Xenopus tropicalis: one gene and its partners. The protein of the gene in region 2 interacts with the protein of the main gene of each other region in a biochemical or structural test. Links are inferred from orthologs where the notes say so. Each region holds a gene or a part of one and is shown on either strand. Other genes may lie near its edges.

Region 1 (7,851 bases), on a different chromosome or scaffold from region 2:
ACTCAGGGCCCCCCGTCTTTGTAATGTGATGTAACCCTGAGAGCCCGGCCCCCATTACTCAGCTCCCCCCGTCTTTGTAATGTGATGTAACCCTGAGAGCCCCCATTACTCAGCGCCCCCCGTCTTTGTAATGTGATGTAACCCTGAGAGCCCCCATTACTCGGTGCCCCCCGTCTTTGTAATGTGATGTAACCCTGAGAGCCCCCATTACTCAGCGCCCCCCCGTCTTTGTAATGTGATGTAACCCTGAGAGTCCCCATTACTCAGCGCCCCACCGTCTTTGTAATGTGATGTAACCCTGAGAGCCCCCATTACTCAGGGCCCCCCCGTCTTTGTAATGTGATGTAACCCTGAGAGCCCCCATTACTCAGCTCCCCCCGTCTTTGTAATGTGATGTAACCCTGAGAGTCCCCATTACTCAGCGCCCCCCCGTCTTTGTAATGTGATGTAACCCTGAGAGCCCCCATTACTCAGGGCCCCCCCGTCTTTGTAATGTGATGTAACCCTGAGAGCCCCCATTACTCAGGGCCCCCCCGTCTTTGTAATGTGATGTAACCCTGAGAGCCCCCATTACTCAGGGCCCCCCGTCTTTGTAATGTGATGTAACCCTGAGAGTCCCCATTACTCAGCGCCCCCCCGTCTTTGTAATGTGATGTAACCCTGAGAGCCCCCATTACTCGGTGCCCCCCGTCTTTGTAATGTGATGTAACCCTGAGAGCCCCCATTACTCAGCGGCCCCCCTCTTTGTAATGTGATGTAACCCTGAGAGCCCCCATTACTCAGCTCCCCCCGTCTTTGTAATGTGATGTAACCCTGAGAGCCCCCCATTACTCAGCGCCCCCCGTCTTTGTAATGTGATGTAACCCTGGGAGCCCCCATTACTCAGCTCCCCCCGTCTTTGTAATGTGATGTAACCCTGAGAGCCCCCATTACTCAGCTCCCCCCGTCTTTGTAATGTGATGTAACCCTGAGAGCCCCCATTACTCAGCGGCCCCCCTCTTTGTAATGTGATGTAACCCTGAGAGCCCCCATTACTCAGCTCCCCCCGTCTTTGTAATGTGATGTAACCCTGAGAGCCCCCCATTACTCAGCGCCCCCCGTCTTTGTAATGTGATGTAACCCTGAGAGCCCCCATTACTCAGCTCCCCCCGTCTTTGTAATGTGATGTAACCCTGAGAGCCCCCATTACTCAGCTCCCCCTGTCTTTGTAATGTGATGTAACCCTGAGAGCCCCCATTACTCAGCTCCCCCCGTCTTTGTAATGTGATGTAACCCTGAGAGCCCCCATTACTCAGCGGCCCCCCTCTTTGTAATGTGATGTAACCCTGAGAGCCCCCATTACTCAGCTCCCCCCGTCTTTGTAATGTGATGTAACCCTGAGAGCCCCCATTACTCAGGGCCCCCCGTCTTTGTAATGTGATGTAACCCTGAGAGCCCAGACCCCATTACTCAGTGCCCCCCGTCTTTGTAATGTGATGTAACCCTGAGAGCCCCCATTACTCAGGGCCCCCCGTCTTTGTAATGTGATGTAACCCTGAGAGCCCCCATTACTCAGGGCCCCCCGTCTTTGTAATGTGATGTAACCCTGAGAGCCCAGACCCCATTACTCAGTGCCCCCCCTCTTTCCTTTGCAGAAGGACGAAGTGTACCTCAACTTGGTGCTGGACTACGTTCCCGAAACTGTGTACAGAGTGGCCAGACATTACAGCCGGGCTAAGCAGGCGCTCCCCATGATCTATGTCAAGGTAAGTACCCCCACTAAGCTGCATGGCCATTGGTCTGTGTGTGGGGGAGATATAGCTGGGCAAACTGGGGAGCCAAAAGGGTTAATGGGCTGGCATGCCAGGCTGTGTTGTATATAGGGATCATTGGGCAACAAGGTGCTACCCAGGCCTGTGGGTTCCTGTATGCCCCTGAGCCTGCACCTCGGTACCCAGGGGCCACTCACCCCTCTCTGTTCTTGCCCGGCAGTTGTACATGTACCAGCTGTTCCGCAGTTTAGCCTACATCCATTCCTTTGGGATCTGCCACCGGGATATCAAACCACAGAACCTTCTGCTGGACCCAGAAACTGCTGTACTCAAGCTGTGTGACTTTGGCAGGTAAGTGCTGCCCCTTCATCTTGTTGCCCCTGGCATTGTTGCCACTTACCCCTGCCAGTACCAGGAGCCCTACTTACCCAGCTGGGTATCATATAATGGTTATCCACCTACCCCTGCCAGTACCAGGAGCCCTACTTACCCAGCTGGGTATCATATAATGGTTACCCACCTACCCCTGCCAGTACCAGGAGCCCTGCTTACCCAGCTGGGTATCATATAATGGTTATCCACCTACCCCTGCCAGTACCAGGGGCCCTACTTACCCAGCTGGGTATCATATAATGGTTACCCACCTACCCCTGCCAGTACCAGGGGCCCTACTTACCCAGCTGGGTATCGTATAATGGTTACCCACCTACCCCTGCCAGTACCAGGAGTCCTACTTACCCGGCTGGGTATCGTATAATGGTTACCCACCTACCCCTGCCAGTACCAGGAGTCCTACTTACCCGGCTGGGTATCGTATAATGGTTACCCACCTACCCCTACCAGTACCAGGGGCCCTACTTACCCGGCTGGGTATCATATAATGGTTACCTCCTACCCCTGCCAGTACCAGGGGCCCTACTTACCCGGCTGGGTATCATATAATGGTTACCCACCTACCCCTGCCAGTACCAGGGGCCCTACTTACCCAGCTGGGTATCATATAATGGTTACCCACCTACCCCTGCCACTACCAGGGGCCCTATTACCCGGCTGGGTATCATGTAATGGTTACCCACCTACCCCTGGGCCCTACTTACCCGGACACGCCTGACGTGCCAGTGAATTCCCCCAGCTAATTGTGTCTCGGGGATAATGAGATCACTTCCCTGTGTGGGCAGATCGTTGGCACAGAGTAGGCGGGCAGTGCTACGATTAGCAGCGCTCTATGTATAACCCCCCTTTGCCATTAACCCTCGGCTGTCAGTAGCCGTGTAACCGCTGTACTGCTGCGGCCTTACCTGCCCCCCGTGCAACTGATTTGCTGTTTATAGGAAGGGACTGGGGTAAATGTGCTTCATGGTGCCCGGTGCCCACACTGTACATGGGGTTCAGCTGTACCCCGCTCCCGGCTACACGCAGACTCTCGCTATAAGTGTTAATTCCAGAGGGGGCGCTGCCTGTACAGTCTGTTGTTCCGCTCTGATATCCCTTGTGTCTGTTTCAGTGCCAAGCAGCTGGTACGCGGAGAGCCCAACGTGTCCTACATCTGCTCCCGGTACTACAGGGCCCCAGAGTTGATCTTTGGAGCCACCGATTACACTTCCAGTATTGGTACGTTCAGCCCTTTGCTCTTTCGTGGCTTAGAAATGTTACCGTGTGTTATTCTGCATTGTGCCACTAGGGGGAGCATGCAGCGACCACTATAGGGGAATCCTCTAAACACTTTGGATAACGGCAGTGCTGCAAAGATTACGGATATTACCAAGACCTGCCCTAGAACTCTCCTGTAACCATAGCAACCCTTGCTTTTGCTTTATTGTATGGCTTACATTTACCATAGACTCACACACTGGTACCAGTCATTGCCTGATATTTGCTCCTTCTCTCCCCCCCCCAGACGTGTGGTCAGCAGGCTGCGTATTGGCCGAGCTGCTGCTGGGTCAGCCCATCTTCCCTGGGGACAGCGGCGTGGATCAGCTGGTTGAGATAATCAAGGTAAGAGAGCAGGTTGGAAGGTTGGTTATACTGTCAGTATGTTATAGAATGGATTATTCTTAGCAACTTTTCAATTGGTCTTCATTTTTTATTTGTTGTAGTTTTTGAGGTATTTGCCTTCCTATTCTGACTCTTTGCAGCTCTCAAATGGGGGTCACTGACCCCGGCAGCCAAACCCTATTGCTCTGTGAGGCTCCAGTTTTATTGTTATTATTACTTTTTATTCCTTATCTTTCTATTCAGCCCCTCCCCTATTCATATTCCCGTCTCTCTCTCAAACCACTGCCTGGTTGCTAGGTTAAATTGGACCCTAGCAATAGTTACTATTCAGCTGTGCTGCCAGTTAAAGGGGTAGTTCACCTTTACATCAACTTTTAGTAGACAAAGACATTGATAATCTGAGAGAAATTGCAATTGGTCTTTGTTTTTTAAATTTTTTTATTGTTTCAGATTTTTTTTTAGCTTTTTGTGTTCTCTGTTTGGTATTATAGCAACTATGTGGTTGCTAGGGTCTTTTTTACCCTAGCAGCCAGGCAGTGGTTTAAATGAGAGATGGGAATATGAATAGGGGAGGGGCTTTACAGGAAGATAAGGAATAAAAAGTAACAGTAAAACTGGAGCCTCACAGAGCAATAGGGTTTGGCTGCCGGGGTCAGTGACCCCCATTTGAAAGCTGCAAAGAGTCGGAAGAAGAAGGCAAACAATTAAAAAACAATGAAAAATAAATAATGAAGACCAATTGAAAAGTTGCTTAGAATGAATAAATTGTAGGGGCTTTATAAAGTCTAATATATAGTGAATAACACACCCCCTGTTGTATAATATAAGGATATTACAAGTCACAGAAGGGTTCCACGGCCATATAGAGCGCTATTACACTGGTCATGGAACTCCCAGGGGACTTCTAAAATCTTCCTATGGTACAAAGTTACATTATTATAATGCACCCCCTGTTGTGTAATATAAGGATATTACTAGTCACAGAAGGGTTCCACGGCCATATAGAGCGCTATTACACTGGTCATGGAACTCCCAGGGGGCTTCTAATATCTTCCTATGGTACAAAGTTACATTATTATAATGCACCCCCTGTTGTATAATATAAGGATATTACTAGTCACAGAAGGGTTCCACGGCCATATAGAGCGCTATTACACTGGTCATGGAACCCCCAGGGGGCTTCTAATATCTTCCTATGGTACAAAGTTACATTATTATAATGCACCCCCTGTTGTATAATATAAGGATATTACTAGTCACAGAAGGGTTCCACGGCCATATAGAGCGCTATTACACTGGTCATGGAACTCCCAGGGGGCTTCTAATATCTTCCTATGGTACAAAGTTACATTATTATAATGCACCCCCTGTTGTATAATATAAGGATATTACTAGTCACAGAAGGGTTCCACGGCCATATAAAGCGCTATTACACTGGTCATGGAACCCCCAGGGGGCTTCTAATATCTTCCTATGGTACAAAGTTACATTATTATAATGCACAAGTGAGTCACGTGACACTTCTAGCCAATGACGTTGCCGAGCAGCGATTATAAGGATATGATTTGTGTATAATACAGTAATAATCTCCCGCTTCTGCCCATAAACACAAATATATTTGCGCATTAGAACTTGTTTTGCTCGGGGCAGAGCGGCACTAATCCCGTCGCTGCAGGTAAATGGAATATTAAAGCTGATTATCTACCAACCAGGCGTGGGTTATATAAAGGCAGCCCCAGTGCACTCTGGGTACAGTTCCGCAGCACGTTAACCAGCTGGGTGTTAGTCTGTCACTGACCTGTCCGGGTAGGTTAATGGGGGATAATCCTGCCCCCCTTTATTATAAGCAGTAGCCAATGTGACTGCTGCTCACTAGTACCCTTAATGCCCTCTAAATGCCCCACGTCTGTAGCTCGGGGGGGCGGGGGCAGGGCTCTGGTTTGTACTTGCCCCTCCGCACTGTGTCATGCAGGAAACCGGGGAGATTTGCAGATTCCAGAACAAGCAGAATCCTGCACAGCGACACCTGAGACTTCCCATAACCCCCCAGGGCTGCTGATACCACCCATCTGTGGCCCCCAGGCCTGGCAGCGTGCAAGCAAGGATATGTACATGTCAGCCGGGGGGGGGGGGGGGCATTTCCTCCCAGTGTAGGGAAAAGGGTGAACTTACTAATAGTATCTCTCTGTACAGGCTATGAGCAAACCTAGGGGGCTGTTCCTGCTGAATTGTGCTTAGTACAGGGGAATCCCTATGTGCCATAGTTTTATGGTATCTCTCTGTACAGGCTATGAGCAAACTTAGGGGGCTGTTCCTGCTGAATTGTGCTTAGTACAGGGGAATCCCTATGTGCCATAGTTTTATGGTATCTCTCTGTACAGGCTATGGGCAAACTTAGGGGGCTGTTCCTGCTGAATTGTGCTTAGTACAGGGGAATCCCTATGTGCCATAGTTTTATGGTATCTCTCTGTACAGGCTATGAGCAAACTTAGGGGGCTGTTCCTGCTGAATTGTGCTTAGTACAGGGGGAATCCCTATGTGCCATAGTTTTATGGTATCTCTCTGTACAGGCTATGAGCAAACTTAGGGGGCTGTTCCTGCTGAATTGTGCTTAGTACAGGGGAATCCCTATGTGCCATAGTTTTATGGTATCTCTCTGTACAGGCTATGAGCAAACTTAGGGGGCTGTTCCTGCTGAATTGTGCTTAGTACAGGGGAATGCTAATTAACTAATTATTTGTGTGACAGTGTCGCCTCCCTTCGAGGCCGTTGGCACCCAGGAAATCTTAACTCTGCTCATTCTGCTGCTTTCTAATATGTCACCTCCGTGCCATGGCGTCGGCGCTATATTTAGCTTCCATTGATGCCCTTCAGCTTCTCCGCCAGGGGTGAGGGGAGCATCACAAGTGCTAGTGACGTAACCCCTGGGAATATGGGTAGGGGGTGCCATAGTGTTTCCCTTAGACAGTACAGTATGGGGGTACAGCTTATTGTGTGCCCAGAACATTCCTTCTCTGTATATTTGTATTTATACATATGGGTAGGAGGTGCCATAGTGATTCCCATAGACAGTACAGTATGGGGGTACAGCTTATTGTGTGCCCAGAACATTCCTTCTCTGTATATTTGTATTTATACATATGGGTAGGAGGTGCCATAGTGATTCCCATAGACAGTACAGTATGGGGGTACAGCTTATTGTGTGCCCAGAACATTCCTTCTCTGTATATTTGTATTTATACATATGGGTAGGAGGTGCCATAGTGATTCCCATAGACAGTACAGTATGGGGGTACAGCTTATTGTGTGCCCAGAACATTCCTTCTCTGTATATTTGTATTTATACATATGGGTAGGGGGTGCCATAGTGTTTCCCTTAGACAGTACAGTATGGGGGTACAGCTTATTGTGTGCCCAGAACATTCCTTCTCTGTATATTTGTATTTATACATATGGGTAGGAGGTGCCATAGTGATTCCCATAGACAGTACAGTATGGGGGTACAGCTTATTGTGTGCCCAGAACATTCCTTCTCTGTATATTTGTATTTATACATATGGGTAGGAGGTGCCATAGTGATTCCCATAGACAGTACAGTATGGGGGTACAGCTTATTGTGTGCCCAGAACATTCCTTCTCTGTATATTTGTATTTATACATATGGGTAGGAGGTGCCATAGTGATTCCCATAGACAGTACAGTATGGGGGTACAGCTTATTGTGTGCCCAGAACATTCCTTCTCTGTATATTTGTATTTATACATATGGGTAGGGGGTGCCATAGTGTTTCCCTTAGACAGTACAGTATGGGGGTACAGCTTATTGTGTGCCCAGAACATTCCTTCTCTGTATATTTGTATTTATACATATGGGTAGGGGGTGCCATAGTGTTTCCCTTAGACAGTACAGTATGGGGGTACAGCTTATTGTGTGCCCAGAACATTCCTTCTCTGTATATTTGTATTTATACATATGGGTAGGGGGTGCCATAGTGTTTCCCTTAGACAGTACAGTATGGGGGTACAGCATATTGTGTGCCCAGAACATTCCTTCTCTGTATATTTGTATTTATACATATGGGTAGGAGGTGCCATAGTGATTCCCA
Region 2 (7,242 bases):
GCCACCTTAAGAGAGAAAAAAAAAATATATATATCTCCCCCAAATATTAACTGGCTCTATTCCCTATTATTAAACACAAAAGCCACATGGGAAATATAGAAGTCCAAAGAGAAGTAACATAAACCGTAATTGTAAACAAAACAAAAACAAAAAATAAAATTAAAAAAAAAAAAAACAAAACCTATTTGTGGGACAGTAAGGATGACGAATGGTCTATTGTGTAAATTTTATGAGGCAGACAAAAAGGAAGGCTGATTAATTCTCCCCTCCTTCTCCTTGTTCAGCTTCATCCCCTTGGGTGTCTGATGTCCACAACTACAATAAAATAAGATTAAAAAAATTAATAATTACAAAATGTTTCTCTTTGCTTTGTTATCCTTTACAATAACCTGATGCCAATCTCTAATTATACTTAATCACCCCCACAAGCATCAGTAAAGCCATGGGAGCTGCATATAAGTGGGTGCTCCTTCCCACGGGTATACATTCACAATACGAGGTATAAAAGGTACAAGGTACAAAAAGGTAGAATTAGCGGGATAGGGGTGCTAATTTGTTATTCCCTCACCCACAGAATGTAGTCACTATCCCGCTACCCTGGGCTGGCACAGGAATTGGGTGCTAATTTGTTATTCCCTCACCCACAGAATGTAGTCACTATCCCGCTACCCTGGGCTGGCACAGGAATTGGGCGCTAATTATTCCCTCACCCACAGAATGTAGTCACTATCCCGCTACCCTGGGCTGGCACAGGAATTGGGCGCTAATTATTCCCTCACCCACAGAATGTAGTCACTATCCCGCTACCCTGGGCTGGCACAGGAATTGGGCGCTAATTTGTTAGTCCCTCACCCACAGAATATAGTCACTATCCCGCTACCCTGGGCTGGCACAGGAATTGGGCGCTAATGTTATTCCCTCACCCACAGAATGTAGTCACTATCCCGCTACCCTGGGCTGGCACAGGAATTGGGTGCTAATTTGTTATTCCCTCACCCACAGAATATAGTCACTATCCCGCTACCCTGGGCTGGCACAGGAATTGGGTGCTAATTTGTTATTCCCTCACCCACAGAATGTAGTCACTATCCCGCTACCCTGGGCTGGCACAGGAATTGGGTGCTAATTTGTTATTCCCTCACCCACAGAATGTAGTCACTATCCCGCTACCCTGGGCTGGCACAGGAATTGGGTGCTAATTATTCCCTCACCCACAGAATGTAGTCACTATCCCGCTACCCTGGGCTGGCACTTCTCTTAAAAAATACACTTAGAAAAAAGTGTACCCCGAACAGCTCATTTATCTAAAAAAGCCATTTCCATAAAAGTATACTTTTTAGTAGTATGTGCCACTGGGTAATCCTAAATAGAAAACCATTTTAAGAATTAAGGGCCGCCTCCTGGGATCAGAGGATTCACAGTGCACACAAACAAGCTAAGGCACACATACATGCTAGGCCCCATCAGCCAATGAATGGGCAGAGTTCTCCCACACTACTTCCTGGAAAATTGCCATTTTAAGTACCAAGGGCCATACGACTCATGATGCACACAAACACACCAAGGGCACACATAAGCCAATGAATGGACAGATTTCTGCCTTTTGCTCCCACACTACTTCCTGTTACAGTTAGAGTTGCATTATTTCCTGTCAGCTGATCTCTGAGGGAGCACACAGCCCATCGGGGGTATAGTTAATAATAATAATAATAATAATAATAATATGTGCAAATCAGGATGCTTTGATGAAAGCAAAGCCTCATTGACTTACTGTTAAGTTGTCTCTCAGTAACTGCATTATTAATGTGCTGTCTTTGTAGGACTCTTCGCTCAAAGTGTCAAGCTCAGCAATGGCTTCATCAAAAGCCTAAAATGGCAGAAAAGCAGAGGTTATTGCGGATAACTGCTGCTGGTGCCTGGTAATGCGCCGGCAGAGCGAGACAAAACACTTACGGCCTTTGCAAGAGAACACGCTTTCTCTGGACAATTGAGGATCTCATAATAGAACACAGAGAAGTTCAGGGCCAGACCCAATCGGATAGGATGTGTTGGTTGCATTTCAGTTTTGCTGATGTCAAAAGCATCTTGATATGCCTTCTGTGACTGGGCCACGATATCTAGCAACACAGAGTCACATGTTAGATTGCATGTACATTCTGCTTATATTCCATTAAATGTAAAGTGGGCACCAACTGAAAGACTAAAGAATCTGTGTTACATTAGAGATTTACACTTTTCATGCTCTGAAATTCCAAAACCACATTCCACCCCAGCAACGGTGCATTCAGAAAACACAAGCTGGATAAATAGGGCAGATTTTTGGCAATTGGTCTTATGGACAAATATCTATGGTTCCGTTTCTGGCACCAAAGAAAATGCACACTTTTACTTTAGCACTTCCTGGTTCTGTTGTGGGCAGGAGAAGCTGATCACACTAATTACCAGGGCACTGAAGCCCTCTGATAATGAGCTGCTCAAAGGCTGGAGAAGCTCAGGAAAGGAAGGGGTTTATTTGTTCAGAGGCAGATAATCTCTGAATCTCCCCCCTCTACCATTATAAACATGGCAGTGAAAAAACAGTGAAAAAAATAGTGCTTTATAAATGGTAAAAAAAAAATAGGCAAAATGCATTCTAAACACTAACTGTGTTGTGGTTCTTTTGTAAACTAGGGCAGTTTTTGTCAGACTTTCAGTTTATGTCCCTTTTGTTACAAGGGTTAGGTCATGGCCCCTCTTAACAAGGAATAGCAAAATATCTGTGTATTAGCCATTTTCCCAAGAACATTTAGGACAACAATAATGTTTTCACCCCAAATCTCACCCTAACAATTTCATGCTGGGCTTTCTGGCGTATCTTGGAGGCCTTTGTAGTAAAAAGTCCCCTCCTGTTCCAAGTCCCAGAGTTTGGGACCCAATAGATAAAGCTAAAATAACATGTCAGGACAGTCAGGTTGGCTTTAAGTAACAACTACTTACAAAAGCAGCCGTATCAGCGGAAAATGCTCAACCTGGCCTATAGGTACTCATGTGAAAAAAATTAGGAAATATGAAACTATGAAACCCTGTGTGTTCTTGTAACATTCTTGAACATATGGATATTTAATCTCAATTTCAACAAAACAGGGAGATTCAAGTAATATAACTAAACAATTAAAATTGAAGAAAATACTTCTGTAAAATGTAATTCTACAAAGTGCCATTTCTGGTGAAGAATAAATCAGGACACCCCCATTTAGACCCACTTAAAATGGCTGAAACAACACACAGGTGTATCCCATCAGGTGCACATGATTAGAATATGGTTACTCAGCATTTGGAAGGAGCTTTGCCCTAGTTAAACCTCAGACATTTAGTTTGATTGTACCTGACTGGCTGGAAACTAAGAAATGGAAATTTTGTGGCTGTACAACCTCTCAAACATCTACTGAGTTACTGGGTGATGCTTCACCATTTTCATAGCACCATTAGAGAACCATGCCCCCTCCAAGGCTGGTGCTTGAGTAGTGCCTGAGCTGAAGGATAAGCTCCTAAGGATGCAGTCTACGCGCAACAACACCCACCTGCCTTTGCGTCGCCAGAAGCTACTTCAGCCAAGTAACGATAATAGTCACCCTTCATTTTCAAATAGAAAACTTTGCTTTCCGGTTGTGATGCGTTGGCAATCAAGAATTTGTCCAGAAGATTCTGCAAAAGACAAAAAAAAAATGCAGGTTCAAATACAGTGATATGGGAAATACACATTCAAAATCTGTGCGTCAGGTACATTGGCAGATGCCAGCAATTCCAATAGCCCAGCAACACAAAGGGAAGGAACCACAGAACAGAGAGAAAACAATAATTAGATAATTACATTCAACATAAACTTTCACTAAAGGGTAAATAGTCCCAAAAACTTGCAATTAAAAAAAAAAAAAAAGGGCAATTCTAAGCAACTTTCCAATATTCCTTAAACATGCAATAATTTTAAGTCATCTTTTAATGCAGTACAGTAATATGCTTTATGGCTAAATTCAGATCTCCCTTCCCCCCCCCTTTTTTTTTTAAAGAGGCAGTATACTTCCCACTTCAATGAATAGGGCTTGTGCTAAACCAGTGACCCCCAACCAGTGGCTCAGGGGCAACATGTTGCTCCCCAACCCCTTGGATGTTGCTCTCAGTGCCCCCAAACCAGGGAGTTATTTTTGAATTCCTCACTTGGGGGCAAGTTTTGGTTGAATAAAAACAAGATTTCCTACCAAATAAAGCCCCTGTAAGCGGATAGTGTGCATAGAGGCCCCTAATAGCCAATCTTAGCCCTTATTTGGCACCTCCATGAACTTTTATGGTGCTTGTGTTGCTCCCCAAGTCTTTTTACATTTGACTGTGGCTCACGAGTAAGAAAGGTTGAGGATCACTATGCTAAACATTATTTGTCTACTGTGCTGAAGGGGATATACTGTTACTTTAAGGGACAGTAACAAGTTTTAAGTTTTTATTGTACCTTCAGAACAATGGCGCTACTTGAACATAACGGACCAAAAAAAAAAACAAAAAACTTAAGAATTAAAAGGGCAAAATGCTGGAATTTTGACAGGAATTATGCACGTCTATTGTACCAATTCCTACATACAACATACCCCCCCCCAACATCTCTTTGGATGACAGCTCGTGCAGGACTGCACAGGTCCAGCTGGGCACACAAATGACCCGCTTTTTGCCATTCGCCATGTAACCCGGAAGTGATCCTACGGCAGGACATTTCTATTATAAATGGCCCCTATCTAAGGTACTGCATGATTGGAAAGAAAGGGAGCAGTTTGGCATTAAAGCCAACAGCTTGTGAGTACTGGTGCATACCAAGTGCAGCTGCACTGCCCCAGGCGCACAAGAGAAAGTGGTACGCCCCAGCCAGACCCAAACAATAGCATTTAGCAGATGCCCACAGGACAGATGAATGTTTAGACAAGGAGACTGGATGTGAGGGGTACTGTCTTTTTACAAATCCTGCATAGGGCAAAGTAGCCGGGAATAGGTGGCCTTGTGTATTAACACTGACAACATGAGCCCGTTATGCTCCGGCTGAGATCAAAGCACAGAACACACGAGAGAGACAGGGAATTTACAGGAGGCATGTGGCGCTCCCGGCAAGTTCAGCAAGCTGTTGGAATTTCACACACTTTCCCAACGAGTGGCGTAAAGATGTGCGTCACACCAACCTCATGTCCTAATCTGATTAAGGAGTATTTTCAGATCACTTTTTACTAGGTCATTAGATGGGTACTGTATGGGCCAGATGACATTCTGGTTTCTCCTAAAAGCCTAATTGCCCTTAGCATGGGCAGTCATCAGGTTCCCCGGCCAAGAGGCAATTTCACAGCAATTCTTAGTATTTGGCAAATTGTGTCGGAATAGCGCTCTTTACGACATACTAAAAGTTAATTGAAACGTGAACAAGCCCTTAAAGGGCTGTATTACAAGAGTCTTTGGATAGTGGCGGCTCCCAAAATGTTGCTGAATAGCTTCCCATTCCAATATGTTTGGATGTGGGACCTTATGCCTTGATTCAATGCCCTGTGGCAACACTTTGTGACCCTGGACTAGTCACACTCCTAGCCTACCAGCATACTTAGTGCGCCTATCATGAGTGCTTGGCAATAAGTCCCACAGGAGAAAATCGCTATATAAAAACAGATTCCCAATCACGTTTTGTCTCACAGACACTTACTGGGGGGCATTATAACCCCATTGCTCAACAAGAGCTTTAGGGCAGTGACAGACGGGGAGATTAGCCGAAATCGCCGGAATTGGCGTGAGAGGAAACTTTGGCGATTTTGGCGCCGCGTATGCCATCCCACCGGCGATTTACATTCTAGCTGGTGGGATGGCATTTCGGGGAGATTAGTCGCCCACAACAAGCGAGATTTGTTGCGGACGACTTATCTCCCTGTCTGCCACGGCCCTAAAATATAATGTACTGTTGCCGTGCACTAAAGGTCATGCATTTGCTACAGAAAGACCGCTATAATTTATATCCACCCCCACCCACCTTATGCTGCCTGTGTGTGCCATACTCTACCCGCCCTACCCTGCCTGTGTGTGCCATACTCTACCCGCCCTACCCTGCCTGTGTGTGCCATACTCTACCCGCCCTACCCTGCCTGTGTGTGTGCGCCATACTCTACCCGCCCTACCCTGCCTGTGTGTGTGCGCCATACTCTGCCCGCCCTACCCTGCCTGTGTGTATGTGTGTGCGCCCTACCCTGCCTGTGTGTATGTGTGTGTGTGCCCTACCCTGCCTGTGTGTATGTGTGTGTGTGCCCTACCCTGCCTGTGTGTATGTGTGTGTGTGCCCTACCCTGCCTGTGTGTATGTGTGTGTGTGCCCTACCCTGCCTGTGTGTATGTGTGTGTGTGCCCTACCCTGCCTGTGTGTATGTGTGTGTGTGCCCTACCCTGCCTGTGTGTATGTGTGTGTGTGCCCTACCCTGCCTGTGTGTATGTGTGTGTGTGCCCTACCCTGCCTGTGTGTATGTGTGTGTGTGCCCTACCCTGCCTGTGTGTATGTGTGTGTGTGCCCTACCCTGCCTGTGTGTATGTGTGTGTGCCCTACCCTGCCTGTGTGTATGTGTGTGTGCCCTACCCTGCCTGTGTGTATGTGTGTGTGCCCTACCCTGCCTGTGTGTATGTGTGTGCCATACTCTGCCTGCCCTACCCTGCCTGTGTGTGTGTGTGCCATACTCTGCCTGCCCTACCCTGCCTGTGTGTGTGTGCGCCATACTCTGCCTGCCCTACCCTGCCTGTGTGTGCCATACTCTGCCTGCCCTACCCTGCCTGTGTGTGTGTGTGTGTACCATACTCTGCCTGCCCTACCCTGCCTGTGTGTGTGTGTGTGCCATACTCTGCCTGCCCTACCCTGCCTGTGTGTGCCATACTCTGCCTGCCCTACCCTGCCTGTGTGTGCCATACTCTGCCTGCCCTACCCTGCCTGTGTGTGCCATACTCTGCCTGCCCTACCCTGCCTGTGTGTGCCATACTCTGCCTGCCCTATGCTGTCTGTGTGTGCCATACTCTGCCTGCCCTATGCTGCCTGTGTGTGCCATACTCTGCCTGCCCTACCCTGCCTGTGTGTGCCATACTCTGCCTGCCCTATGCTGTCTGTGTGTGCCATACTCTGCCTGCCCTATGCTGTCTGTGTGTGCCATACTCTGCCAGCCCCAACCATTTGGGTTTTTGCTGTGCTACCATTAGTATGGATATGGTCTTA
Region 3 (7,851 bases), on a different chromosome or scaffold from region 2:
AACAACTGCAGGGTGTATGGGGCCCCCGGCTCGGGCTCCTTCACAGCCCTCTTTTGTTTTAAAGTCCCCATCCAACTGGCAGGGCTCCCAGAGAGAAATATGATTCCTTCATTCAGGGGACGCAAACTCATGTTACTGATCCACAAAGCCTGCAGTGTAGGGAGGGGACAGGCCGGGGTATTGGGGTTTTTTGCATCTGATGGGAGGGCTCTGGAATTCAAATGTACATTCCTAGCCGGGAACTGTGCGGATTTAACCCTGTCACTCGCGCTTGAGAGGAAAAAAGGAGAATAACAGAAGCGTACAAGGCATTGTGGGCCCTAGAGATTTAGCCTCATACATTGTTCCTTTAGTCGGGCAAACAGAGTAGAGAAATAGACAGATACTTCTCTCAGCTGGAATTGCAGTTCCAAATAAAACCATGGGCACTTTTATAATGAACAAATATAGGGAAGCTGCTTGGGGAGGTGTTTGGATTTGGTCCGTTAAAGATGTAGTGACAATGTCCCCTTTAATATCATATGGGAAACAGACAAGTACTGGGTGTTCTGTGGGTTTAAAGTGCGTAGTCAGCTCTCTGGTTGGCCCGTGTGGTTTGACATTAAAGAGGCGAGGGCAGGAAGATGTCTGTTGTGAGGAGCGGCTGAAGATGAAGGGGGTGTACAGTATGTGCACCCAATTTTAAGAGAGTGTATCTTATATATTATTTTTCTGTATATATATATATATATATATATAGTGAATAAAGTGCCCCCTATTGTAACATATAGGGATATTATAAGTCACCGAGGAGTTCCTTATAATATATAGTGAATAAAGTGCCCCCTATTGCAACATATAGGGATATTATAAGCCCCCGAGGAGTTCCTTATAATATATAGCAAATAAAGTACCCCCTATTGTAACATATAGGGATATTATAAGCCCCCGAGGAGTTCCTTATAATATATAGCAAATAAAGTACCCCCTATTGTAACATATAGGGATATTAGAAGTCACCGAGGAGTTCCTTATAATATATAGTGAATAAAGTGCCCCCTATTGTAACATATAGGGATATTATAAGCCCCCGAGGAGTTCCTTATAATATATAGCAAATAAAGTACCCCCTATTGTAACATATAGGGATATTATAAGTCCCCGAGGAGTTCCTTATAATATATAGCAAATAAAGTACCCCCTATTGTAACATATAGGGATATTATAAGCCCTCGAGGAGTTCCTTATAATATATAGTGAATAAAGTACCCCCTATTGTAACATATAGGGATATTATAAGCCCCCGAGGAGTTCCTTATAATATATAGCAAATAAAGTACCCCCTATTGTAACATATAGGGATATTAGAAGTCACCGAGGAGTTCCTTATAATATATAGTGAATAAAGTGCCCCCTATTGTAACATATAGGGATATTAGAAGTCCCCGAGGAGTTCCTTATAATATATAGTGAATAAAGTGCCCCCTATTGTAACATATAGGGATATTATAAGTCCCCGAGGAGTTCCATGTCCATATAAAGGTAGAAGGCTGAGGTCATTTATACAGGTCATGGAACTCCGAGGTAACTTCTAATATCCTCATATATTACAAAGGGGGTACTTTATTATAATATACACGGTTTGGTGAGTCATGTGACAGAAATTATATTACCGAGCTCCCATCATAACTGATGACATCACTTTTAATCGTTTATAAGGATATAATTAGTATATAGTATAGTATAAACAGTTATGCCCCCCTCCAGGGTAACCAATGCTTCCTGCTCTCCAACTGCCCCATTAGTCGCATCCTGTTTGTGTTTATAGTGAAACCAGCAGTGAAGGGAAGTCGACCTGATCATATGGTACAGAGTCACATCCTGAGACTGTTTGTGGTGGATCTTTGTTGTTTTTAAAGGAACAGTAACACCAAAAAATGAAAGTGTATAAAAGTAACTAAAATATAATGTGCTGCTGCCCTGCACTGGTAAAAGTTGTGTGTTTACTTCAGAAAGTCTACTATAATTTATATAAATAAGCTGCTATGTAGCCATGGAGGCAGCCATTCAAAGGAGAAAAGGCACAGGCACATAGCAGATAACAGATAAAACACTATTGTATTCTACAGAACTTATCTGTTATCTGCTATGTAACCTGTGCCTTTTCTCCTTTGAATGGCTGCCTCCATGGCTACACAGCAGCTTATTATATAAATTATAGTAGTGTTACTGTAGCAAACACACCAGTTTTACCAGTGCAGGGCAACAGGGCATTATATTTTTATTACTTAAAAGCTGTTTCATTTTTTGGTGTTACTGATCCTTTAATTATGAGGCAGGATAGTTACTATTTTAGCATTATCGGTATCTGTAATTACTATGGAAAGCAGTGTTGGTCCTTTCTTTTGCCTACACTGCTGCTACTGACACCTGAATAATATAGCTGTGAATAAGACTTTAGTGCTACATTGTGGCAAGAGTCAGAACCGCCAGTGCAGGAAGGGACACATCCATACTGTTTAACACACATAGCAGATCCTGTGAGTTAAAAAGAAGCAGAAATGTCTCTTATCTTGATTTATGGTTTTATTGGAGGCGACAGTTGGTCGGCAGGTGAGGCTGGGGCAGATACATATCGAGTGTTTGACAATTCTCTGTCCTTTGGCAAATATCAGAGCATCTGTGCAGTATGATATGCACCTCCCTCCCCCAGACTGTCCAAACCCTTGTATTAGGTATTTGTTCACCAGTGAATGAGGGTATTATGGCTGGGCAGCCAGTTCAGCACCTGTCCTGACTCAAGTGATGGGGCAGATGGGGTCAAACTCTGGGCTGGAATAGCAAAGGACATTTGGCCCCAGATTCCTTTACCTATGCCCCCCTGTAGTGTGGGTGGCACAGGGCAACCTGCCCAAATAGATAAGGCTTAATGAAAATGAAATGGCATTGATTAGTTTCAAGGGGAAGTTAACATTGCTAAGATTGCTCATGTCTATGAATTTACTGAATGTAAAAGGGTGGGGGGGGGGGTCTATTGAAGGATTTTAGCAGTTATAGTTAAAAAGAATTAGGCACTGAAGTCTCTTACCCCCCATGGGCTTGCACTTCTCTTGTATAGGGGGGGCAAGGTGGAGGAGTGTATTTTATGGGGGTTATTTGTCTCCCCACAGACAGTTATTGTCCCAATAGAAAAGCCCTGCACTGCAGGCCCCCCCACCCCAGCGGAGAAGGGGCTATGAATGGGTTGGAGGAGGTGCCTGTATTTAAGGTGGCTGAATGCAATCTGCCCAAGACACAAAGCCCGGCTAAAGTATAATCTGCCCTTTCTTGCAGAATGCTTGAGTTAATTGGGGCTGCACGGAGCCTCCATCTGCCAGTCCTTGGTGTGGGGGGGCTTGCAGCACGTGCTTAGTGGGGTCGGCCTGCTGCCTAGTGCATGAATGGGCTGAATAGAGGCTTTGATATGCCACACTTGTCCCTTCCCGATCCCCCTACCCCCCCCCCAGGCAGGGGGGCCGAGCCTGATGCTTTCCTTGGGACATATGGCTTGGGTGCAGAGCCAAACAAAGCCGCACATTTACATACAGGTGGGGAGCGGTGACCCTTAAACCCCTGCTATAGAAAAGGCCGGGGCACATTAAACCCATTTACAGCCCCTGTATCAGGGCGGGGGGGGGCAAGCGAGGGGGCTTTTGTGCATTTATTCTGCTTTCTTTTATTTATCATTTGCATGCACAGACAAAATAGGTCAGGGGGGCGCTGTTCCTGGATGTAAATGAGGGTAATTATCAGGGCGAAGGGACCCCAGATCAATACCGGGCGAGACTCATTTATACCCATTTTCACTCGTTCTCTCTCTTTTTTTTTCCAGGTTTGAAAAGGTTATTTTTGAATCAAGAATCCCCCCCAACGAGTAAGTATAGGGACAGTGTAGGCGACGTTTATTGGTGTATTTTATATAGCAGCTTCTCCCATAGCAACATCAAAGGCCTCTGCGGGCAGCAGTGCTGTAAACGTTAAAGGGCACTTAATTAAAAGACAAATTTAGCCAATGTATTTTTTCCCCTGTCGTACATCCTGCTGCACATTGTTTTCAAGGATAAGTAAACACTTTTAATCCCGACGTGTGCCGTTAGGGCCGTTCCCCGATGCAGAGAGAATGCGCAGCTCTCTAAACGCCGCTGATACCAAATGTTTATTTAAAGGCGTGTTTGGGTGTTTCTGCTGCTTACAAGATAATACCCCTCCCTACAGCTAAATAAAGCTTTTATTGGACCATTAATAACATTATTGCTTAGCGAATAAGGCCCACATTCTGCAGTGCCAATAGGGTGATTCCATTATTGGGGTTCAGACATAGAATTATTCTAACCCGTCTCCTTTTTTCTTAATTTCCAGTATCAAGCTCCCAATCAGAAGAATCCACTCCTTGCCGGTAAGTTAATTTCCGCCTTTTTTTAGCAAACCATTTACTGGGCGGGGCTAGGGGATCATCATGGCAGCTCCTGCATACTTAGGAATACCTTAATAGTCTATATAAAGGATAACGCTATGCTTACTGGGGGGGGGAGGGGGTATCTGATTGCATATAGGCATAAAAGCTGGTCACAGTATATGAAATGATCAGGTATCTTGTACACAGGAGACTCTCCAGGGGGGCAGCCCCGCTCTCAGAAGACTCTCCCACCCGTTGGACTTGGATCTGCCCAAACCCCTCGAGAAGATCCCAGCGGAGAAAGACAATAAGGAGAATGTAAGTCTCACCTGTTGCACAGACAGGAAGTGCAGATTGTGCCTGTTTGATGATGGAGAAGGAATGCCTTGCCCTTTAACCCATGCCTGACCTTTATAAGCCTGGGGGAGGGGTATTTAAAAAAACATAACTTACATTTTTGTTGTGAATGTGGTCAGTCAAAGCCTATGGTCCTATACATGTGGCTCTAAACCTATAACAGTCAAAGGGCCCCTATATAAATATCCCAAGGTTCCATACATTATTATTATTATTAACATTTATTTATAAAGCGCCAACATATAGTGGGTTACATACATTGCACATACAGAGTAACATATAAAGGTGAAGAGAGCCCTGCCCAAAAGAGCTTACAATCTACAATTTCAAGATGGATCGTTGCTAGGCATCTAAACATTAACCCTGTATGTTTCTGTCCACAGGAATTACTTCTCTTTAAGAAGCCGCGCCCATTCCTCCGCACCAGGCTACGCACCTTCGATGGCTGCAGCGACAGAGAGGCTTTTTCCGAAAGGCCAAACTCCGCCCCCACTCTCATGGTAGGTACTTTTCCTTGTGTCGTGACCGCGATCCAGCCAGCTTCTTCCGCTGTTAGATTTGCCGGATCTGATCGATAACGCGATCCTTTCTCCACCCTTAGTTTTTCAGCCCTGACAAGATCAACTCTGAAATGGAAAACGAGAGTCCCATCCGTTTACGCAAATCCTCCCTGACCTTCTCTCTGTGCAATGACGATGACGACGATGACGGATTCATGGAAATTATGGATGATGAAGAGATAAAGGTACAAAATGAAGGGGACATATACCCACCCATATCAGTTTATGTCAGTTAGCTTAGGGTGCTCTTCTGAGCACTTTTGCACTTAACTATATTTTTTTTTAACACTTTGTGTCCCCCCCTTTGCAGACTGATATTCCCTCTGGAATGCGGAATCTGCTGACTGCCCCATTCGTCAACAAAGAAGACAAGAGTGACCCGGTAAGTATGTCAGCCCTCTCTATCCGTCAGCCGTCTCTCTCCATACTTAGTGGATCTATTTGTCCGTCAGTTTTTGGCTGTGAAGGAACGAGTTCCCTTGCTCCTATTTAGGAACTGTGTTTCCATCTTCCCCCAGGATCTGATTATTAAAAGCAAATGCCGCCGGCTGTTCCGATCACCCTCCATGCCTAGTAGCATCATCAGGCCCATACTCAAACGATTGGACAGACCAGAGGATGGTGAGACCCCTGTGAAGTCAAAGAGGTTGAAGAACTTGCCGCAGTCACATTCGGAAGAATGGCCGGAGAACGAGGAACCGGTATGTAGAACCTTTGAGTTCTTTCTTTCACTCGGGGCACATCCCTGGCCAATAGAATATTAAATAGGTCTTCAGCTGCCTTTGACCATCTTGGCCTTAGCCTTCAGGTGTCTCCCTTTGTTTCCATGAAGAGTGATATCTGTCCAGTAGTTGCTGTAGGTTGGGGGCAGAGACATAGTAACATAGTAAGTTAGGTTGATAAAAGACGAAGGTCCATCACGTTCAACCATAATGCCTGTATATAACCTGCCTAACTGCTAGTTGATTCAGAGGAAGGCAAAAAAGACATATCAGGCCTTAGAGGTTTAGACTATATTGTTGGCCAGAATTTGGGGGTATAGCAGCTATGTCCATGTCTTCTGCTATAGCGACCGGTAATAGAATGTCAAATACTGGCCATTTTCCCTCTTTCCTTAATATTTATCATTCATCCTTCAATGTAGAAAATGAAGTTGGGAAGGTCCAAGTCTGTGTGCCTCGCTACCGTGGAAAAGATACTGGACAACGATGAGAGAGAGCTCATTGGTGATTCCTCAAAGGTGAGAAGCAGCAAATTACCCTTTTACCCATCACCTTTATATTATATTATCCTCAGCCAGAGCTGTCCAACTGGGTGAAGGGGAGGTGAGGGGGTGTGGCCATTCCCAACAGATTTTTTTGACCCCCCCAGCATGCCCAAGAACTTCATAGACATGTATGTATGATATCATTGGTTTAACCGAATCCAGCCCATGTGGAATAACTGATTATTGTCAGCCCTGCGTTTCCAAGGGAAAATATAGATGCAATGGATAGACCTTTAGGTGCGAGCCGAGGGTATTAGTAATGATTCAGAAGTTTATGCACCAAATTGACATCATTTCTCTTATTTTCCAGGCGTATTTACTGAAAACAGTGGAAGGGAAACACCAAGATCTGAAATACATCACTCCTGAAATGGTATGTTGTCTCCAAGATCTGATCATAGAACTTATACAGTGGGGAGGTAGGGTTCAATTTGAAAACCATACACCGTGTCTAATAACTCATAGCAACCAATCAGCAGGCAGTATTTGTGTCAGAAGTATCTGATTGGTTGCTGTCATTTTTATGACATCATTACATGACTTTATTCTGTTTTGTTCTTTCAGATGGACTGTGTGCTGAGTGGGAAGTATAAGGACACGATTGAGCGCTGTGTGATTATCGACTGCAGATACCCCTATGAATACGAGGGTGGGCACATCAAGGTGAGAGCTCTTAGCCCTTTTTTTTTCCTATCCAAACAGAACCCAGGTGGGTGCTGCCATAAAGCACTTGGGACATTTTACAGCAGTAACTGAAACTTTTGTTTCTTGCCCTATTTTCTCAGGGAGCCATAAACCTGCCCCTGGAACAGGACGTAGAAGCCTATTTGCTGAAGGAGCCCATAGTACCGCAGAGCCCAGACAAGCGAGTGATCATTATCTTCCACTGCGAGTTCTCCTCAGAGAGGGGCCCCAGGATGTAAGTTACTTTTATCTAGCTTAAACACTATATGATTATAGCTGTGATTCTGACTGCAGTTTCTGCCATAAAGCAATGCAGCTCTGTTATGCTCAATAGGATACTGAGACTGCCTTTCATTATTCCACAGGTGCCGGTTCATTAGAAAGCAAGACCGCAATAGTAACGAGTACCCCAAGCTACACTATCCTGAACTTTATGTCCTTAAAGGAGGCTACAAGGATTTCTTTCCCAGCTTTCAGGTGAGCTTATGGCCTTTCCATTGGGCTTAAGGTGCCCATAAACAGGCCGATTCTAGCTGCCGATATGGGTCCCTTAGACCGATTCAGCAGCT
Region 4 (7,851 bases), on a different chromosome or scaffold from region 2:
GTATCATAAATAACGCAATATATGCAATTTATAATCTTCATTATCTCCAAGTGGCCACATACTCTATCAGCGATTGTCAAACCCATTATTTGGATGCTTTCAAAAAATGTCTTACCCGTTCCTCTTGATGAATGGTTTAAAGGAGGTAAACCTGTCATAGAACTCTCCCCTTGCCCCCTAAGCTTTTCAAAGCAAGCGGCCAATCAAAGGTAGAGATCCAACAGGATCTGCTGATGAAAATCCTAGCTACCAGCGCTACAGGAGGCATCTTGCTGATATCAAACGTAGACAACTGCATAATTCTTGTTTGCCAATGTTACAATCTAAGGAAACAGTGCTGTTATGAATTATGTGCTAGAAAGAACAAGAACCTGTATAGCCTGTAGGCAGGATTGTAACAGGAGGGAAAAGAGCTGCTAAAAACACTGATCATTGTTTTAAAAACCCATCCTTGATGTTGCAAGACTACAGCTCCCAACTTGGTTCAATCTTTTACAATGTAATAGCCAAGAGTTGCAATGTAGCAACAACAGGGTTGAAAGCACAGTTGTGGATTGGATCCCCATTTAAACCAACAATCTGTTATAGGAGAACCCAGTGTAAATCATTAATGATAGCAAAGCATGGTGCAACAATTTCAGTACTAGGCCAAGGAATTGTTAACTATATATCATTGTGTCTTGTGTCATTGTGCCTTAAAAACATTTTGCTTTACCTAGAGCTCCTGAGCTGGTGACCAGCAGACTGCAAAAAGACAGTATTGCCCACAAACAGACCATTACATTAACCATTATTCAGATTTATAAATATATGATATTGGCAATGGGTTTTATCCATTTAATTATAACAATATGTACCTGTTATCAAGATTGCTTGGGACTTGGGTTCTCCAAATAAAGGGTCTTTCTGTAATCTGGATTAAAGGGGCTGTTCACCTTTGAATTAACTTTTAGTATGATGTAGAGGGTGATATTCTGAGCGGTTTGCAATTGGTCTTCATTTTTTTAATTAAGTCTACTAAAAAATAATTAAGACTTAAAAGAGCCCAATAGAATTTTTACTTCCAGTTAAGATTCATTATATCTTGATCTTGGGATCAAGTAAAAGGTACTGTTTTATTATTACAGAGAAAAAGAAAATCATTTTGAAAATTTTGAATTATTTGATTAAAATAAGGGAGATATAGCCTTTCCCTGGTTTGGAGCTTTCTGGATATCAGGTTTCCATACCCGTACTGTATTTCTCTATTTTTTCAATATCAATTTATCTGCTGTGGTAGATTGTGATGTGTATAACAAAAGTAAAAGCATATTGCCACAATGATAATGTATGAAAACCTATGCAATAAGATAGGACAGTGCAGTCCAACTTATTACATGTAGTGGGCCAATTATTTCTCATCATCATTGTGTTCAAGGGCCTGATTATGTCACATAGTGAAGTCTACGAAGCTTTTGAGCAGACTGGGGGCATAAAACCCCTTGAAGAGCCATATCCATCCCACAGTCCTCCAGTTGGGATAGGAAATCACTGGAATTGGTAAACCCTGAGTACAACACTATGCCAATTAAGATTGAATGAATAAATTCTATATTACTATTTTACAACAGAAAACTTTTTGTGCTGTGCGTTGTTAGTACACTATAAAATATCTCATTTCCCAAAGTGCTTCATGTATGGAAACGTTTTTGAATAAACAGGATAAATGGAGCAGCCATTGCATATAAAGTATTACTATAATGATAACAGAATGTAAACCCTTGTCTATAAAGCAGATTAGAGAGTTTTCCTGCTTTAATCATTAAAGTTGATATTGTAGTAATAATCAGAGGTAAAACAATCATTTTCATTTGTTTGTAGATAAATAAGAAAAAAAGGTTATTTTCACAGCATGGCACTCATGTTCTCGGCTCATATTTAACACTTAACAATCCATTTTTAAATTTTATTTTTCCACCATGAAGGTGACACCCTCATGTCTTCCGAAATCACCCACTATTTATTTTCCTCAGCAGCTTTGTACACGACAATTCGCTGATGGTTTGTGCAGCCCAAACACCTGCATCTTTGTCCCGCTGGCATCTTTGTATGCAGCAATTTGCATTTCCATTCAAATTTGCCAAAACACAAGTGAGTACACAGTCCAGTGGATCTGTGGTGATCTTTGCAAATCTGTATATACATGAAAATAAACCATTAGCAAGCCAGGGAGATGATCACATATGCAGAAATACAGTTTCTCTTATTTTGGGCCTAAATGAAATAGCTATGTTTGGTTACATTATTATAAAATAATACTGACACTTTCATATGAAACAGGAATCGTTCAGGTCTGGACTGAGATTCTCAATGGGCCTTGGCATTTCAAGTACACACAGGCCCAAAAACAGTGACTGTCTATGGCATCTTAGAGCAGCCCCTCTGGCATTTGCCAAAATCCACAGATTGCCAGTCTGGAAAATCATGCCAATTCCACTAATTAAACAGCTCAGCATTTTTTTCATCCTTCTTTACCAAGCATTGTGCCAGGTAATACCTTTAAGTGTTTTTTTATCAGAGCTAACCAGTTACTGCAGGTGCATGACCCTCTGTCACCAGTGCTAGGCCTAAAACAGAGAGCACCCAAGGCTTATCCCCATCATCATTTATTTATATTAAGTAGAAATGCAATATTTTATATACTGAACTTACTGAACCAGTATAAAGGTACATCATCTCTATAGAACCAATGGCCTTCAAAGTTATCACAGGGGGTCACCATACTGGAAACTGTTAGAAAGGTCTGTGCCACATGCTCTGTGCAGCTGTTGAGAAGCTAAGCTTAGGGGTCATAGCAAATTATCAAGCAGAAAATTACATTTGTATGGCATAGATGGCAATGCTATAGAGGTGATTATTTCTGAAACTAATTGCTCTGGCTTCAGAGTTGCCATGTAGTAATTATCTGTATTAATTACATATCAGCCTTAAATTATGGCATTTATATTCTATATATACAGTATATTATACATTGGTCTCTGAGCTCAGTAACTGACAGCAGCACAGAGCATGTGGAGTGAATCAGCAGAGAAGAAGATGGGGAGCTACTGAGGGCAACTTTGGAGGCACAGATCTTCCCTGCTAAAGGGCTATAGCTGCTTGGGCTGGTACAGAAGCCCAAAACATTATGTACAACATTTCTGCCCTACTTCATTAGGCTTTAGTTCTCCTTTAATTTATAATGATCAGTGGTGTTACAGTAATATTTAACAAACAAGGGTTACTCAAAAAAAAAAAAAAAAGGATCACATGGCAATACTTGCTACAGCTTACAATCTAAAGCTCCCCGCCCTTGATCGCCCCCATATTACCATGGATCCCCCTCAGTGTGAGCTTGGAGACTGCCTGCCTGCTCTCCTGCACTGAATCCCACTGCAGGGAGCACATTGGCTAGCGGGGAGTTTTGGTGTGGCAGGCTCAAAAGCCCAAACCTGCAAGCAAGAGAGGTATGTGCTCATCGCACCCTTACTGTTGCCACTTAGGCACATGTCACTTCTGCCTACCTCTAGTTCCGGCCTTTCTATCACACAGATCTGCCACAGGACTGAGTTGTTCTTTAACCTGACAAAAAATTGCTCCACCCACATTAATTTGGTGATAAGTAACAAAGAGAAATTATATTAGCCTTACATTTCACATAGTGGGCGGTTCCTATTAAAGAACAGAATCACTCCTCATCCCCAGACTCATCCCTTCCTTTACTTTTCCGTCTTGAGAACAAGCCCATGATTAAGTCTCGAATGCTTCTGTTCCCAGTCATCTGACCCGCTGCACTTGCACTCTTTGGACGAGGAAGGCCCTAAGGGTGGAAATAACAGAAAGAATAATCATTTGCCCTCAAATGCATAAGTGCTTCTTATAAGTGCTTATTTCTAGATATATAACTCAAGCGTTTTTTTTTATTTTCTAAAACACTGTTTTTCTCATGCAAAATAATAAATTACATAGTATCCATTGTTAACATTTACTTAAAGAGGTGATGTTGCCCGTACCAACCAATCAGTAATTAGATTTGAACGGTTACCTATAAGTTAAAACAAAAACAAAAATCTTCTTGGTTGCTCTGGGCAACATCACCAGTGATGTTTGTCTTCAATGTTAGTAAAATGTTCAATAAAGTGTATATGTACAGTCTTGTTAAATAACAATTACTGTATATACTCGAGTATAAGCCTAGTTTTTCAGCACCCAAAATGTGCTGAAAAAGTCCCCCTCGGCTTATACTCGAGTCGGGTGCCATGGGTCCCTCCAGACTAGCACCCTCTGTCCTTTGTGTGCAAATTAGGCCACCTGCAACCAGACCCTCCAGTGCCCTGGTCTAGGCTCCCACTAGCAATACTTATTCCCCCTTACATCTCCTCCGGGACCGGGTCTGCTGCCAGTTTGCCAATGTGCAATGAGCGTGGGGTAGTACTCATATTGTTTTTGTTGACCCTCTTCTCCACTTACAGAGCTAGTTTACTGTTTTTCTTTGAAATAAATATTGAAAAACATATACCCCACTGATGCCTCAATTAATGTAATTTTATTGGTATTTATTTTAAAACTTAGCAGAAGCTGCTGCATTTCCCACCCTAGGCTTATACTCGAGTCAATAAGTTTTTCCAGTTTTCTTAGGTAAAATTAGGTACCTCGGCTTATATTCGGGTTGGCTTATACTTGAGTATATACGGTATTTAGAACCTTCTAAATTGTGCAGCTGGCCACTTTTTCCAGGCAGTGGATAGTATATTCAGTCTGAACGTCAACTAGGACAAGATTTGGGTTGAATCCTTTTTTTTCTGTACTAGATAATGCTGAAAGTATGGTGGGATGATAAGTATGACAATGTTTTTATTTACCTACATCGCTAAAGACATACGAGTGCTACTTTCTAGCTGCTCTATAGGATACTGAACTGCTACATGTAACTCTTGTAACTTGGCCCTCCCAGATAAATGGAGAAAGGGTCTCAGTTCTGAACTATAATTCTCTTGGGAACCAGTGGTTCTTAATCTGGAACAGTATTTTAGAATAGGTTAACACAAAAGAAAAATGGTTCTTTTGCATGACAGATTATTCATAGCAGATGCTCACATCACATTTCACAGTTCTACATGGTTATTATTTCTGATATAGGTGTCTGCCCATCATCATTCCTGTATCTCATAAAGCACCTCAAAGGGGTTTTACTCACTATCCCTGGGTCCTACACCCTTGAGTCCCTATAGTCTAGTGTGTTCATCTAGGAACTACCCCAACACTACAATCTCCTTGTTGGAGCACAGCACTGCTCATTCTAGATAACACTGTCTATCTCACACCTTTGGAGTGTGCCTTAACTGGAGCTACATGCACTCCACCTAAAGGTGGATTCTAAAGAGAATGAACCTTGGCATTTCTACCCTTTTAGAGAATATAAATCTGCCACACCCTGGGCCAAATGGGTACACCTTCCTCCCACAGGACATTACCAAGCACTGTTTCTAAGAATATAATTAACTAGATATTTGTGTTTCTACGGGCCTGTGGCATACATTGCATTTTGTCTGCAAAAGTAAATATGTTTTTTTTCTGCTTCATATCTGTGCACATAGACAGGAGTGGTATCCACCTGTCAGTGTGTACACAGAGTGGATCTTGGCCACAAAATACACACAACTGTTTTCTGGCTAAGATTTGTTCAGTGTGAGCACTGAGGATTACATTTTGGTAAATGTGCACAGGTACAGAGCAGAGAGGGGCAGAAGTGTTTCTTCCACCAACTTTAAAAGCACAAAGTGAGGTGTTTGTGAGTTGTAAGTTAAAAAAAAAAAAATCCAGGAAGCTGGAAGCCATAAACCAAAGAAAGTACCACTCATTTTGTTGCATTGGAAAAACTATTAGGAACAGAGATACTCCCTTTCTGAAGTATTAAATGATAAATATAATTGTGACAGTTAAATTGTTACCGTGAAGCTTTTTTCAAATTCATCACTCATTCTTCTTAACTCCCGTCCATATTTTGTAGCGATCATTGAAGACGGAGCAGAACGGGAACGGGAACGGAAAGGATGGAGCTCGCCCACTTTGTCTGTCTCACTGGACTCTGAAGCAGACTCAGTGCGTAAACGTGACTCCTTCCCTGTGATAGAGGTAGTATTATTAATTATGCTTTTGTTGTTTACAGGGGTACAACTATTTCAGTATATGCTATAATTCACTTACTAGTTTAAAACGGCTGCTAGCAGCACTGTTATTATTACCCTTTATTTATCACTAAGACATTTACAACATACTTTCCAGAAGTCACTGCCTGCCTATATATTTTATCTTATAGCAAGTCAGATTTCAATATTACAGATGGCATAATGCTTATGAAGAAAGATGAAATACATATTTTCTTGGCAGAAGATCACCTGGGTATCTTCGCAGGCTGGGAGAACTCTTAGCTACAGGTTGTCGAACGCCTGCCCCACGAGGGGGATCCACAAAAGGCAAAGGTAATCCCTGTTCCTCATTATCGAATTCCTCTAACTTGAAAACTGCTGAAGGGGATGAATCTGCCATCTAAAAAAGAACAGAATAATTTCAGGGAGTTATACATACATATATACTGCTAATTTCTATTTTGATAAACCTAAGCTGTTTCCACATGTCTCATTTAAAATGTAACAGCATCAGTCCTGTCACAGTGTTTGATATTTGTCTAGTAACCCATAGCAAGCAAGGTAGCTTCTACTGGCTGCTACGGGTTACTAAATGTGGCAGAAGTTAAGGCTTTTTTTAATTCCAATGCCTCATTTGCGCTTTTAAATTCAGTGGGAACTTTTTATGAGGGTGTTTAATTTACCTAGGGAAACTATATATAGTTTATTGGCTTCTTTTTCTTCAAGGACAGCCTATGATTTTGTGAATGCTTGCGTTATTCACTTCTGTAATGAGATATAGGACTACAAGAACCTAAAAAATGAAATCATTTTTCAGACTGATGACAATGATTGTAAAATATTTGGGAAGGAACATTGATTTTTTTGGAGGATGAATCTGGATTAAAAAGAATACAGAAAGTAGCTCTTTTTTTCTAGCATACAAAATTATATTTAATAAATTAAGCATTAAAAAGCTTCATATTGCCATGCACTGGATGGGACCACATCTACTGACCATAAAATCATGGAAACAACTGGTAAACCAGGCAATCCCACTAATTAATCTTACCTCAGAAGCGAGAGGAACACAGACTAAATTTGACCTGATTTGGACCCCGTGGATTGAAGCAGGACTGGACTGAACCTACATAACATGTACTATAACCAAAGTGATATGCATATCTCTATTTGCACATAGTATGGTTGTATCACTGGCCAACCAACTAAAACTAATGTATTCTGCAAATGTTTGGCATAAATGTCTGTCTGTTGTTAATAAAATTATACCTATATAAAAAAAAGCTTCATATTAAAGTAGGAAGTACAATGACCAATCACCACACCTTTTGTTTAGTGAATACACTCACTTGTTGCACTGTGCTACAGTGTTTGGGAGAGATTGCCAAGAGAGTGGATCTTCTCCTGATATGCCCACCTATGGGGTGGGTGATATCGGGCTAATTCAGTTGTTTGGCCCTAGAGCCAAACAATGGAATTAAAACAGTGGGAATAGGCGCCTTAGGTTCGTGGACCACATTAACAAGCCAATGTGGTCCCCGATCTAACAGAAAAATCAAATCTGCCCGATCGAGATCTGGCCCGTCGTTCATGCTAATACATGGGCAAATAAGCTTCCGATTCTGTCTAAAGGATGTATGGCCACCTTTTTAGTGTTTAGTCCAACAAACAAAAAGCTAAATGA

The links. The genes of interacting proteins can lie anywhere in the genome.
Region 1: the proteins of ywhaz (region 2) and gsk3b form a complex in vitro, tested with the Homo sapiens proteins (2 studies listed by BioGRID). The link is inferred for Xenopus tropicalis from reciprocal best matches to the Homo sapiens genes YWHAZ and GSK3B.
Region 3: the proteins of ywhaz (region 2) and cdc25b form a complex in vitro, tested with the Homo sapiens proteins (2 studies listed by BioGRID and IntAct). The link is inferred for Xenopus tropicalis from reciprocal best matches to the Homo sapiens genes YWHAZ and CDC25B.
Region 4: the proteins of ywhaz (region 2) and bad form a complex in vitro, tested with the Homo sapiens proteins (3 studies listed by BioGRID). The link is inferred for Xenopus tropicalis from reciprocal best matches to the Homo sapiens genes YWHAZ and BAD.

The regions. Positions count from the first base shown.
Region 1 is NC_030678.2:1,892,153-1,900,003, forward strand, and holds part of gsk3b (glycogen synthase kinase-3 beta), read left to right. Parts: intron 1-1,634; coding exon 1,635-1,745; intron 1,746-1,971; coding exon 1,972-2,102; intron 2,103-3,255; coding exon 3,256-3,362; intron 3,363-3,648; coding exon 3,649-3,746; intron 3,747-7,851. UniProt on the Homo sapiens protein: Constitutively active protein kinase that acts as a negative regulator in the hormonal control of glucose homeostasis, Wnt signaling and regulation of transcription factors and microtubules, by phosphorylating and inactivating glycogen synthase (GYS1 or GYS2), EIF2B, CTNNB1/beta-catenin, APC, AXIN1, DPYSL2/CRMP2, JUN, NFATC1/NFATC, MAPT/TAU and MACF1.
Region 2 is NC_030682.2:130,812,112-130,819,353, forward strand, and holds part of ywhaz (14-3-3 protein zeta), read right to left. Parts: intron 3,685-7,242; coding exon 3,561-3,684; intron 2,118-3,560; coding exon 1,954-2,117; intron 1,868-1,953; coding exon 1,772-1,867; intron 316-1,771; coding exon 256-315; 3' UTR 1-255.
Region 3 is NC_030677.2:15,564,823-15,572,673, reverse strand, and holds part of cdc25b (M-phase inducer phosphatase 2), read left to right. Parts: intron 1-3,850; coding exon 3,851-3,892; intron 3,893-4,377; coding exon 4,378-4,414; intron 4,415-4,621; coding exon 4,622-4,732; intron 4,733-5,154; coding exon 5,155-5,271; intron 5,272-5,372; coding exon 5,373-5,516; intron 5,517-5,641; coding exon 5,642-5,713; intron 5,714-5,849; coding exon 5,850-6,032; intron 6,033-6,475; coding exon 6,476-6,571; intron 6,572-6,908; coding exon 6,909-6,971; intron 6,972-7,162; coding exon 7,163-7,261; intron 7,262-7,383; coding exon 7,384-7,517; intron 7,518-7,647; coding exon 7,648-7,759; intron 7,760-7,851. UniProt on the Homo sapiens protein: Tyrosine protein phosphatase which functions as a dosage-dependent inducer of mitotic progression. Directly dephosphorylates CDK1 and stimulates its kinase activity.
Region 4 is NC_030680.2:35,251,327-35,259,177, reverse strand, and holds part of bad (bcl2-associated agonist of cell death), read right to left. Parts: intron 6,568-7,851; coding exon 6,417-6,567; intron 6,143-6,416; coding exon 5,970-6,142; intron 3,839-5,969; coding exon 3,707-3,838; 3' UTR 3,670-3,706; intron 2,173-3,669; 3' UTR 1-2,172. UniProt on the Homo sapiens protein: Promotes cell death. Successfully competes for the binding to Bcl-X(L), Bcl-2 and Bcl-W, thereby affecting the level of heterodimerization of these proteins with BAX. Can reverse the death repressor activity of Bcl-X(L), but not that of Bcl-2.